3 linked regions of the Arabidopsis thaliana genome follow. The protein of the gene in region 1 purifies or fractionates together with the protein of each later gene. This does not show direct contact. Each region holds a gene or a part of one and is shown in the gene's direction. Other genes may lie near its edges.

Region 1 (3,754 bases):
CACCACAAATTAAAGGAGAACAAATTCAATGTTTCAATCGCTGGTTCCGATATACAACTTATGCATGCCATGGCATGAATGCGAGATCCAATTATATACTAATATATACACACAAAAACATATGTAAATATAGATGGAACAGAAGCCTAGATAGGTTAGGATAAAGAAAACGATCAAATCTGCAAAGATCAGTCTCTCCCAAATCCCCAAAAAAAACAAAGCATGCATTTCGTAATAAACAACTCATCATAAAACGACACATAACTCGAAAACCTCTCCTCCCGACATTTCATCAATTCATTTCTCTTTTTATTTTCGAAAAGATGAAAACTTAATAAATTATTATGAACAATCTTACTATATATATGGATATATACACAGGCCCTAAAACGTAAAACAGTTGAGGACTTTACATCTGAACATGTCTTTCTCCGTGAAAGGTCGAAGCTTACGTGGCAACAATAACGGAGGAACGGGGACGAAGTGCGGGAGATGGAATCCAACGGTGGAGCAGTTGAAGATATTGACTGATCTGTTTCGAGCCGGTCTTAGAACTCCAACAACTGATCAGATTCAGAAGATCTCTACGGAGCTCAGTTTCTACGGCAAGATAGAGAGCAAGAATGTTTTCTATTGGTTTCAGAATCATAAGGCTAGGGAGAGGCAGAAACGTCGTAAAATCTCCATTGATTTTGATCATCATCATCATCAACCATCAACTAGAGGTAGTCTCTTTATATATATATATATATATATATATATATATAATTATATATCATTATTGTTTTATATGATATTTCTATATATTTAATGGATAATAGTGTGTTATTATAGATGTTTTTGAAATAAGCGAAGAAGATTGTCAAGAGGAAGAGAAGGTGATAGAGACATTACAACTCTTTCCGGTGAATTCATTTGAAGACTCCAACTCCAAGGTGGACAAAATGAGAGCTAGAGGCAATAACCAGTACCGTGAATATATTCGAGAGACCACCACGACGTCGTTTTCTCCATACTCATCATGTGGAGCTGAAATGGAACATCCACCGCCATTAGATCTTCGATTAAGCTTTCTTTAAGTCATTGACCACAATAACAAAAGAAAAAAAACAGATGCTTTAGCCTTTAAAATGTTGTTGTATTTTGAATTATGACATATTATCCGATGCATGGTTTATGAGATATTTTCCAATGCATGGTTTATCAAAAAGTTGTCTCATTTTGTTTGATATAAGAATCTATGTTATGGAATGCGTATATGTATATCATCATATAACTAAGGTTGTGATTTGTTAATGTATTTTTCTATATTTTTTAAAAATAATTTAAGAAAGACATCATTAACGAATAGTTCTATTTGCATCACAGAAATACTAGAAATATCAGATAAACTTAAAACTTAAAAGATGTTAAAAAAACAAACTTAAAACTTATCTCTATCAATTTACAAAATTTACATCATCTCGAAATACTTAAGTCTTGATCAACAACCATTAGACCAAAAAACTTGCACAATCTTATCAGAATAAAACCAACTCTTTTAAACGAACAGATTAATATCCTTAATATTATTTTACCCAGACCCATTGTCTTTTAGGCCCATATAATTGGGCTTTATAATACAGAGAAGGCCCAAACTTTGGTTAAACCCATAGTGCCTAGAGAAGATTAATTAAAGGGGTTTTCCTGGAGAAGAAGCAAACTCAAGTTCCGTCGGAGATAAAACGGAATCAAAAGTTGAGGTTTTGATCATTCCCGGAGAAAGAAATTTAGAATTACTCAAGCGAATTTGATTAACCCAACAATGGATGTTATAAAGACGCAACAAATATCGGCAAGGACAATCGAGAAAGTGATCGTTCACCCACTTGTCTTGCTTAGTATCGTCGACCATTACAATCGTGTAGCCAAGGACACGAGCAAGCGCGTCGTCGGCGTTTTGCTCGGAAGTAGCTCTCGTGGTACTGTTGACGTCACCAACAGCTACGCAGGTGCCTTGATTTTACTTTTTCCTTTCTCTTTGTTCTCTTCGATCTCACAGATCTCTGAAAGTTTGTTAAGCTCTTGCTAATCTCATAATTCAATATGTTTAGTGTTCTTGTCTGAAAATTTACTTAAGTTTAGTTTTTTTTAGCTTTTGGGTTGCAAAATTGTCTTACTTTTAAAATCGTTGTGTGATACTTGGATTCAGTCAAACTTGGTCCTAGTGGCCTAATTCCATATTGGAGTGATGAGTATAATATGGTGGTTGAGTTAATTTCTTAGAGAATGAAACAGATTTCATTTGATTTTGCACAGTACATTACACTGTGAGCATGTTCATAAGTGCGTTGTTGTTACTTGCACATCACTTGTTTGACTTTTTGTTTGTGGTTTTACAGTGCCTTTTGAGGAGGATGACAAAGACACAAGCATATGGTTTCTTGATCACAACTACCACGAGTCGATGTTTCACATGTTCAAGAGAATTAATGGTATTGCTCGGGAAATATAATGCTTAAGAGTATATATGTGGAAAGCCTCTTTTTTGACTGATTTTCATATTTGCTTTCAGCTAAGGAGCATATTGTGGGTTGGTACAGCACAGGTCCTAAACTTCGAGAGAATGATTTGGATGTTCACGCTTTATTCAATGGGTAAGACCAAAATCAGTCTAAAATATGAGATATGATGGTCTAATCTAATATATGGTTTGGTGGTCTGTTTAAGTTATATATGTACAAACGTTTTAAAGCATTCACAATCTATCTCTCCTCTCTTGCTAGACCTTATTTCTGTATTACTTCGGTTTTAATCTTAGTTTCTGGTGTTGCAGCTACGTTCCAAATCCAGTGTTGGTCATTATTGATGTCCAACCTAAAGAACTTGGAATCCCCACAAAAGCATACTATGCGGTTGAGGAGGTGAAAGAGGTAAATACCAGCCAATTTTCTAACCATTTTACTTGCTCGACTGTTAAGTTGCATCTGACATACTTGATTTACTTTCTGCATTAGTTATATCCATATATCTAATTGCCTTGATCCGAACTTCTCTCTCTGCAGAATGCTACCCAGAAAAGCCAACAGGTTTTTGTACACGTGCCTACAGAAATTGCAGCTCATGAAGTTGAGGAAATTGGTATGTCTACATGGGGAAACAAATCCTTTGATAGTTTGATTTCCTTATTTCAGAGCATAAGAATGATGAGGGAATTTTTTTTTTTGTAAATGCTTCCGAGGAAACTCAATGGAGTCCTTCTTGCTTCGCTTACGCCAGTTGGTTGGTCTTGAACAGGTGTGGAACATTTGCTCAGGGATGTAAAAGACACAACCATCAGTACCTTGGCAACTGAGGTTATTTTCTTCACACATAACTTAAACATTTCATCATCAAGCTTCTTAATGTTTATTCAAATCATGATTGTTGCTCTCAAAACAAAATGTGAGGAACATATATTGAGGAAACTGAAATTATTTGTGAACTGTATTTCAGGTCACTGCGAAACTTACTGCTCTGAAGGGATTGGATGCACGACTTCGGGAGATCCGGACTTACCTTGACCTTGTAATCGAAGGAAAACTCCCATTAAACCATGAAATCTTATACCATCTTCAGGTAACACTTTTAATTGTAGTTGACTAGTAGAATCAAACTGGTTTTCGTGTTTGTTTTTTTCTCAGTATCCGTGACTGCTAGTAAGGATTATTCAGCTAAATTGAATACTCTTTTGCAAATCTGTAGGACGTATTCAACTTGCTTCCTAACTTGAACG
Region 2 (3,754 bases), on another chromosome or scaffold:
AGGCTCTTCCACTTCATTACTAAACTCCACATTCAAATCCAACCTCCCCAGGTTCTTAGCGCCTGTTCCCATTCGTTTTCTAGTAATATAACTCCCTGGTTTAGACATAACCCCAGTTGAAGACCCAACAGCCGCAGCATTTGAAGCAATTGAAACCGCGTGATTGCTAGCACTACTGATACTTTCTACATTTTGGACTTCTTCAACTCCATGTTTCTTGTTACTTCTCACATATGTTTCTTTCCCTTTCCCAACATTCGTCTTCTTATTCACTTGTACCACATCTTGCCAATCACCATCATCACCAGCGTCATCTCCATCCGAAATCGCAACATAAATGTCATCATCGTCATAGTAAATCCTAGGAGGACCCGGTTCCTTTCTCTTCTTTGGTTCACCATCCAACTTTTGCAGAGGACAGGCAAAGAGAGGTGAAATAGGTGACCAACTTGGAGCTTGAAATTCACCGGAAAACCCCAATGGAAACAAAGCCCATGAGCAAAAGTAAACGTCTTCGTCGTCTTTCTTATCCACCGGAGGTTTTGGTATCGTCACAGCTTGAAACGCTCTTCTACATTCTTGACATTTCAAAGTACATTCTTCGTAAGCCTTAGGGTACTCAAAGAGTACAAAGCAGTAAGGGCAAGCGGTCCAGAAGCTCGTCGCCATAGGATCCGCCGAGGTCCCAGCCTGGCTCTGAGACCGCGGTGGCGGATATACGGCGGTGCTACTGCTAGGTTCCCACTGGAAATTTTGATGCGATTGGGTTTGAGGATGGAATCCAGATTGACCGAGTTGACTAAGTTGCAATTCTCGGTCGTAGAATGATTTCTTGAACGGATCAGAGAGAACGAACCAAGCATCGGAGACGATTTTAAGAGCTCGATCGGCGAATGGGAGACGATTAACGGAAGGATTGAGGAGAAGAGCGAGTCTACGGTACTGAGTCGCGACGTGTTCAGGGTTTTGAGCTAAACGACCGAGTCGGAGAACGGCGTACCAGTCTGGCAAGTTGGAATCACCTAAACGAGTCTCTCCGGCGAGAAGAATGTCGCAGATTGCGAGGATGTAGTCTGCAGCTTCTGCTCGGGTCGGGTCAGCTTCGCATGCGCGGATCGCAAATGTCTTTGCTCCTTGAAGATCACTAGACGCTAGAAGCTTCTCCGATGTTACAAGCCACTGATCCGCCTCCACTCTGTTACCACCACCACCGCCAACTCCGCCGCGTCCGCCTACCATATCCCCTATTTCTTTTTGTTCCCTTTCGTTTTTCCTCTCTCCCCGTTGAATTTATTTATTATTTTATCGGTAAAGAGTAAATACAGATCTAAAAATTAAAAGGACGAAAACATGATGGATCGTCAATGGGCCGGAACAACAACATGATGGATCGTCAATGGCATTTTGGTCCTTTTCATTTTATATAATATGTGCAATGTGATGGATCGTCAATGGGCCGGAACACTTTTTTCTAAATTTTTCACTTACAAAAAATATTAATAAAATAAGATGTAATATTATTCTCTTAGGACAGTTTCTCTAAACAATTGGAAAAGTTTCTTGTAATCTCTCAAATGAGAGACTCACTCATCTTTACTGAGAGATTTTTTTAATTAAAAAAAACATTATTTACTATTTTATTTTTATTTTTGTAGATGAGAGATTTGAACGAAAAACCACCAATACAGATGCTTTTTAGGATGTTGTAAAGCCCAATAATTCTTTTAAGAATTAAAATATAATCTGGTGGGCTTTAGGTCTGGACAGCCTAACTAAAATAAAATATTACATTCCGATTCCCAGAAAATAATTCGTAATCAATTGACCAAACCGATCGATCACTGTTGTCATAAAAGTCATCGCCATCTTGGTTTCGTGATCGAAAAAGACTCGTGAAAAAATGGATCATATGATATCAGAAAACGGAGAAACAAGTGCCGAAGGATCGATTTGCGGCTATGATTCGCTGCATCAACTCTTATCAGCGAATCTTAAGCCCGAGCTCTATCAGGTGACGTATCCACTCCCTCCAAACTAAATTACTCTTCTAGTGTGTTTGATCTCGCTTTTGATTAGCCTGTCTAATTCGAATGATGATATTATGGATCTTTTGTTCTAGTGGTTTCAAGTGTTTATTTTAGTTATGTTGATCAGCTTTAAAAAATATGGATTGTTGATGATTGGATTTGCAGGAGGTAAACCGGTTGCTCCTTGGACGTAACTGTGGGAGATCGCTTGAACAGATTGTTCTGCCGGAGTCTGCTAAAGCCTTGTCTTCAAAACATGATTTTGATCTCCAGGTTTATACTTCGTTAGTTATAGGATCAGATCATTGAACTTAATAGATTGAGACAATGTTTTGATTTGATTTGATCTTTGTATAAATATTGTCTAGGCTGCTAGCTTTTCAGCTGATAAAGAGCAAATGAGAAATCCTCGAGTGGTCAGAGTTGGTCTCATTCAAAACTCCATTGCTCTTCCAACCACTGCTCCATTCTCGGACCAAACAAGAGGAATATTCGACAAGTTGAAGCCGATAATCGATGCTGCGGGTGTTGCTGGTGTTAACATACTGTGCTTGCAGGTTTTGCCTCCATTTGCTTTCTTTTATTGAAAAGTTGTTACTTCAATTGTTTTTGACCTTTTCTTTGGGGGGGAATGAATGGTTTTATCGATAGGAAGCTTGGACCATGCCATTTGCATTTTGCACTAGGGAGAGGAGATGGTGTGAGTTTGCAGAGCCTGTTGATGGCGAATCGACAAAGTTTCTTCAAGAACTCGCTAAAAAGTATAACATGGTGATTGTTAGTCCTATTCTCGAAAGAGATATTGATCACGGTGAAGTGCTTTGGAATACCGCTGTGATTATAGGGAATAATGGAAATATCATTGGCAAGCATCGAAAGGTATATTTGTGCTAACACGTCTTTTGTTGCTCTGTCTTTTCTCTTGTCAGCTAATTTCTATTACTTGCTTGGTGGCAGAACCATATACCTAGGGTAGGAGATTTCAACGAGAGCACCTATTACATGGAAGGAGACACAGGCCATCCTGTGTTTGAGACGGTGTTTGGGAAAATTGCGGTTAATATATGTTATGGCAGACACCATCCTCTGAATTGGTTAGCTTTTGGTCTAAATGGTGCAGAGATTGTCTTCAACCCTTCAGCAACTGTTGGTGAACTCAGTGAACCAATGTGGCCTATTGAGGTTTAACTTCTGATTCTCCACTTTACTCAATTTGAAGCTTTCTTTCTTTAGTAACACTGTCTAACAATGCAATATGTTCCTTAAAACTTGCAGGCACGAAATGCCGCAATAGCAAACAGTTACTTTGTTGGATCCATTAACCGAGTTGGAACCGAAGTATTCCCCAATCCTTTTACGTCAGGTGATGGAAAACCGCAACACAATGATTTCGGGCATTTCTATGGGTCAAGCCATTTTTCTGCACCAGATGCTTCTTGCACACCGTCTTTGTCCCGTTACAAAGATGGTTTATTGATCTCGGACATGGATCTCAATCTCTGCCGGCAATACAAGGACAAGTGGGGATTTAGAATGACTGCAAGATACGAAGTCTATGCCGATCTTTTGGCAAAGTACATAAAGCCAGACTTCAAGCCTCAAGTCGTCTCTGACCCATTGCTCCACAAGAATTCTACATAAGAAGAAAATTTCACTCTGTGAATCTTCAAAGAAGAAAAGTCCAATAATCAATGTTCAATCATTTGTGTAAATGTAACGGTAACTGA
Region 3 (3,754 bases), on another chromosome or scaffold:
TTGCTAATTTCCTAAAATCTATATATCTACATTAATAATAAATATATGATTTTTCTTTCATTTTTATTTGTTCTTATATCTAATTTATTTTTATTTGATATATATAATACATATAGTTAAAAATATATTAGTTTTTTCTGCATATGAGGTAATTCAAAATTTTAAAAACACACATATACTACTCAATCGATGAAGAAAAAAAATAAGTAGAAAAAATCCCACATTACTTTAAAAAATTGAGTAATAGTTCAGAGTCATACATGGCTTTCAAAGCAAAAACTATAGCCTACATAACAAGGTTCAACACAACCTGATTACAAAGAATTCTATAAAACAAAGATGGGCCTATTTCTTTGATCACACTGTGTCTTAGTAAAAACTAAGAGTCTCAAAGTCTGTAATCTGAAAAATCAAAGGAAGAAAAATTCAGGGAAACGAAACAAACACAAATGAGAAATCAAATAAATTAGCGAACCAAATTACAAAAACCTAAAACAGGAGGGAAAGCACTTACTCTTGTTATAAGAAGTAGACTTGACAAAAATAATCTTAAAAGGAAAAGATGATAACACTGAAGAGTTTGGAACAACTTTCTGACGGGAGATGGATTAGGTCGAGGGAGATTATACTATTAACAGAGGAAAAAAACCAAAAAAAACTCCATTTATTTTTAATTTGTTCATACCTGCGTTATTTAATTTGGCCGTTTAATACCTAAGTTAATTTTTATGTTCATTAAAAACCTTCATTTTTTTAAATTTTGGCAAAATCAGACATGCGAGTTAACGGGCGTTAACAATGGTAACGGAATCGCTAACCGCAGTTAAAACTTAACCATATAATGTTTACTATTTATATACAATTTGTTTTCTAATAGTTATGATCATATTATCTTAGTCCCAGTGGTTTTGAGAGAGATTATCATCCTCATCAGTTCGAGATCGATTCTCATCTCCAACAAATTTTTTGATTTTTTTTTTTAACAAAAGGCAAAATCTCAGTAATCCGAGTTACGATTTTGAATTTGATTCTGAGACTTTCTTTTGTTTAGCACCACGTTTGTTAGATCTGCTTCAATTCGATTTTGAGAACGAGCTAAATTAGATTCCTTCATCTCTTCAATTCATATTAAGGTTTTCAATTTCTAGATCGATTGATATGAATAAGTCAGCAAAGATTGCATATTCCCAGTTTTTGCTGATATTTTGCGTTGAAAAATCCAGACTTTGTTTTTCATTGTTAGTAACGTTGATAGCTTATAGAAAGATTATGTTACCATTAATTGCATCTGTTGATAACAAATAAGATCGATTATCACAAATCTATGTTGTATTAATTGGTCTAACATTTGGGACTTTTGGTTGGTGATTGATTTTGGTGCAATATCCTTTGGAGAAAGAAGTGAAGCAACACACAAGTGCAAAGCCTGTTGAAGTGAAAGAGATGGCTGACTTCGATTTTGCCTTTTTGTTAAAAAAAAAAGAAAAAAAATCAAAAAAAATTTTGGAGATGATAATCGATTTTGAATCGATGATGATGGTAATCTCTCTCATAACCACTCGACTAAAATAATATGTTCATAATTATTAGAAAACAAATTGTATATAAATAGTAAACATTATATGGTTAAGTTTTAACTACAGTTAGCGATTTCGTTACCACTGTTAACGCCCGTTAACTCGGATGTCTGATTTTGCTAAAATTAAAAAAAAAAAAAAGGTTTTCAATAAACATAAAAATTAACTTAAATATTAAACAGGTAAATTAAATAACGCATGTATTAAACGGACAAATTAAAAATAAATGAAGTATTTTTTGTATTTTTTCCCTCTTAACAAATTAGGTTAACAATTCTCCCGTTCTCACGCATCTTTACCTAATCTTCCGGATATAAAAATACTATTACTTTGTTTTGATCTTACAAAAAGGCCCAATGTGTGAAATATTAGTTAATGGGCCTTAGGGATGGGCTTCTCAACCTAAAATGAAAAGCACGAGAGAGGATGAAAGAAATCGGAGAAGGCAGTAGGATCTTCCACTTGCCGCTCTTTGAAAATCACTCGCCGTGTCTCTCTAAGCTTCTTCTTCACTGTGAAAACCTCAGATCGCAAATATGCACGCACCGGTACTCGTTCTGAGTGAGTATCTCCATCTTCCTCCAGATCTCATTTCCTCTAAATCGATATTAGTTTTTTGGTAACGAGATTAACTCCTTTTGTGAAAATGGTTTAGGCGATTCGTTGAAGCGTGAATCTGGAAGTAAGGTTCATCATGGTAATATCCAAGCTTCCAAGGTAAATTAATCCTTTTCTATGGCTCTTTTTCTCTGTGATGCTTGTTGCTTCTCTCCTCTGGTTTCAGATCATCGTTGTTTTTGTGGTACAGGCTGTTGCTGATATCATTCGTACAACATTGGGTCCTCGTTCTATGTTGAAGATGCTTCTTGATGCTGGTGGAGGTCTTTTTCTAAACACTTCCTCTTTTTTTTAGGCTTTTCATATCTCTGTATGTGGGTAGTAGATCTCTGTAGTGAGGGAATTAGGTTTAGTGTTTTTAGCTTTGGAAATGTTTTTCTTATGTACTCGTTCTTTGTTGAAGCTATTGTTCTTCAGTTTCGGTGTTAGTTTTATATAAACCCTAAATCAATATTTGGGTTCTGTTTGTCTTGTTTTTTTTTTTTTTCTGTCTACCTTTAATTTTTCTTAATCTGTGTGTTATCATCATATCTTACCCCTCTTTGTTTCTTGGATCTTTACAGGGATTGTTGTTACTAATGATGGGAATGCTATTCTTCGTGAGCTAGATGTCGCTCATCCTGCAGCTAAGGTTTTACTTCTGACCTTTCTCTATCTATTGTTCTTGTTAAAATTGTTTTACTTATCCATTTTTGACTCTGGTGATTGCAGTCAATGATTGAGTTGAGCCGTACGCAAGATGAAGAAGTTGGTGATGGGACAACGTCTGTTATTGTTCTAGGTACGAACATTCTTTTTTGCTAACAAATAGTTTGTCAATGGCTTGGTTTGGACCAGTTTTAATGTATTTTTAACTAAAGCACAAACAAATTACTTAAGGATATTATGGGTGCTGCAGTATTCAGTTCAACATCATGATCTCTGTTTATAATCATGGGTTCTTGAAGTCCTCTTTTTGTTTGCTTTTTGCCAACAGCTGGTGAAATGCTTCACGTTGCAGAAGCGTTTCTTGAGAAGAATTACCATCCCACAGTCATATGCCGAGGTATGCTGGCACTATGAATTGCTTATTGTTGTCATGTTACACATGTCGTTTTCATCTTAACGAATGCATTCTTCTCTGCAGCTTACATCAAGGCTCTCGAAGATTCTATTGCTGTTCTTGACAAAATTGCTATGTCAATTGATATCAATGACCGTAAGTCCATTTCTACCTTGTATTTGTTCATTTGGAGTTGACCTTCAGCTACTTTGGTTTCTGAAGTTAGTTTTTCTTTCACGTTTGTACTGATGGAAGAATGTGTGAGTTGCAGGTTCACAAGTGCTAGGATTAGTCAAGAGCTGCATAGGGACAAAGTTCACTAGCCAATTTGGAGATCTTATTGCGGTAAGTACCGTAATTACAGTAGCTTCTTACTTATGCATTACCAGTCCAGGTTTTATTGCTCCTTAATATATATTGGATATGTCTAGACAAGTAGGTATAGATACAGCATACATCTTGAAGTGACTTTTTAAATGTAAGATGAGTAACCATGAAATAACTTGAATTTGATGAC

The links.
Region 2: the proteins of MEE34 (region 1) and BETA-UP fractionate together in Arabidopsis thaliana (co-fractionation; one large-scale study listed by BioGRID). This does not show direct contact.
Region 3: the proteins of MEE34 (region 1) and AT5G26360 fractionate together in Arabidopsis thaliana (co-fractionation; one large-scale study listed by BioGRID). This does not show direct contact.

The regions. Positions count from the first base shown.
Region 1 is NC_003074.8:3,527,185-3,530,938, forward strand, and holds the start of MEE34 (Mov34/MPN/PAD-1 family protein), read left to right. Parts: upstream 1-1,637; 5' UTR 1,638-1,804; coding exon 1,805-1,991; intron 1,992-2,381; coding exon 2,382-2,474; intron 2,475-2,554; coding exon 2,555-2,636; intron 2,637-2,815; coding exon 2,816-2,912; intron 2,913-3,044; coding exon 3,045-3,120; intron 3,121-3,276; coding exon 3,277-3,335; intron 3,336-3,474; coding exon 3,475-3,597; intron 3,598-3,723; coding exon 3,724-3,754. Other genes in the region: WOX5 (WUSCHEL related homeobox 5), read left to right, coding at 422-725, 835-1,079. UniProt on the Arabidopsis thaliana protein: Acts as a regulatory subunit of the 26S proteasome which is involved in the ATP-dependent degradation of ubiquitinated proteins.
Region 2 is NC_003076.8:25,737,364-25,741,117, forward strand, and holds the start of BETA-UP (beta-ureidopropionase), read left to right. Parts: upstream 1-1,767; 5' UTR 1,768-1,900; coding exon 1,901-2,011; intron 2,012-2,192; coding exon 2,193-2,300; intron 2,301-2,395; coding exon 2,396-2,584; intron 2,585-2,678; coding exon 2,679-2,906; intron 2,907-2,984; coding exon 2,985-3,209; intron 3,210-3,302; coding exon 3,303-3,668; 3' UTR 3,669-3,754. Other genes in the region: EIP9 (Chaperone DnaJ-domain superfamily protein), read right to left, coding at 1-1,239. UniProt on the Arabidopsis thaliana protein: Catalyzes a late step in pyrimidine degradation. Converts N-carbamoyl-beta-aminoisobutyrate and N-carbamoyl-beta-alanine (3-ureidopropanoate) to, respectively, beta-aminoisobutyrate and beta-alanine, ammonia and carbon dioxide.
Region 3 is NC_003076.8:9,257,251-9,261,004, reverse strand, and holds the start of AT5G26360 (TCP-1/cpn60 chaperonin family protein), read left to right. Parts: upstream 1-1,976; 5' UTR 1,977-2,113; coding exon 2,114-2,138; intron 2,139-2,232; coding exon 2,233-2,294; intron 2,295-2,385; coding exon 2,386-2,458; intron 2,459-2,758; coding exon 2,759-2,826; intron 2,827-2,906; coding exon 2,907-2,976; intron 2,977-3,171; coding exon 3,172-3,240; intron 3,241-3,321; coding exon 3,322-3,393; intron 3,394-3,508; coding exon 3,509-3,582; intron 3,583-3,754. UniProt on the Arabidopsis thaliana protein: Molecular chaperone; assists the folding of proteins upon ATP hydrolysis. Known to play a role, in vitro, in the folding of actin and tubulin.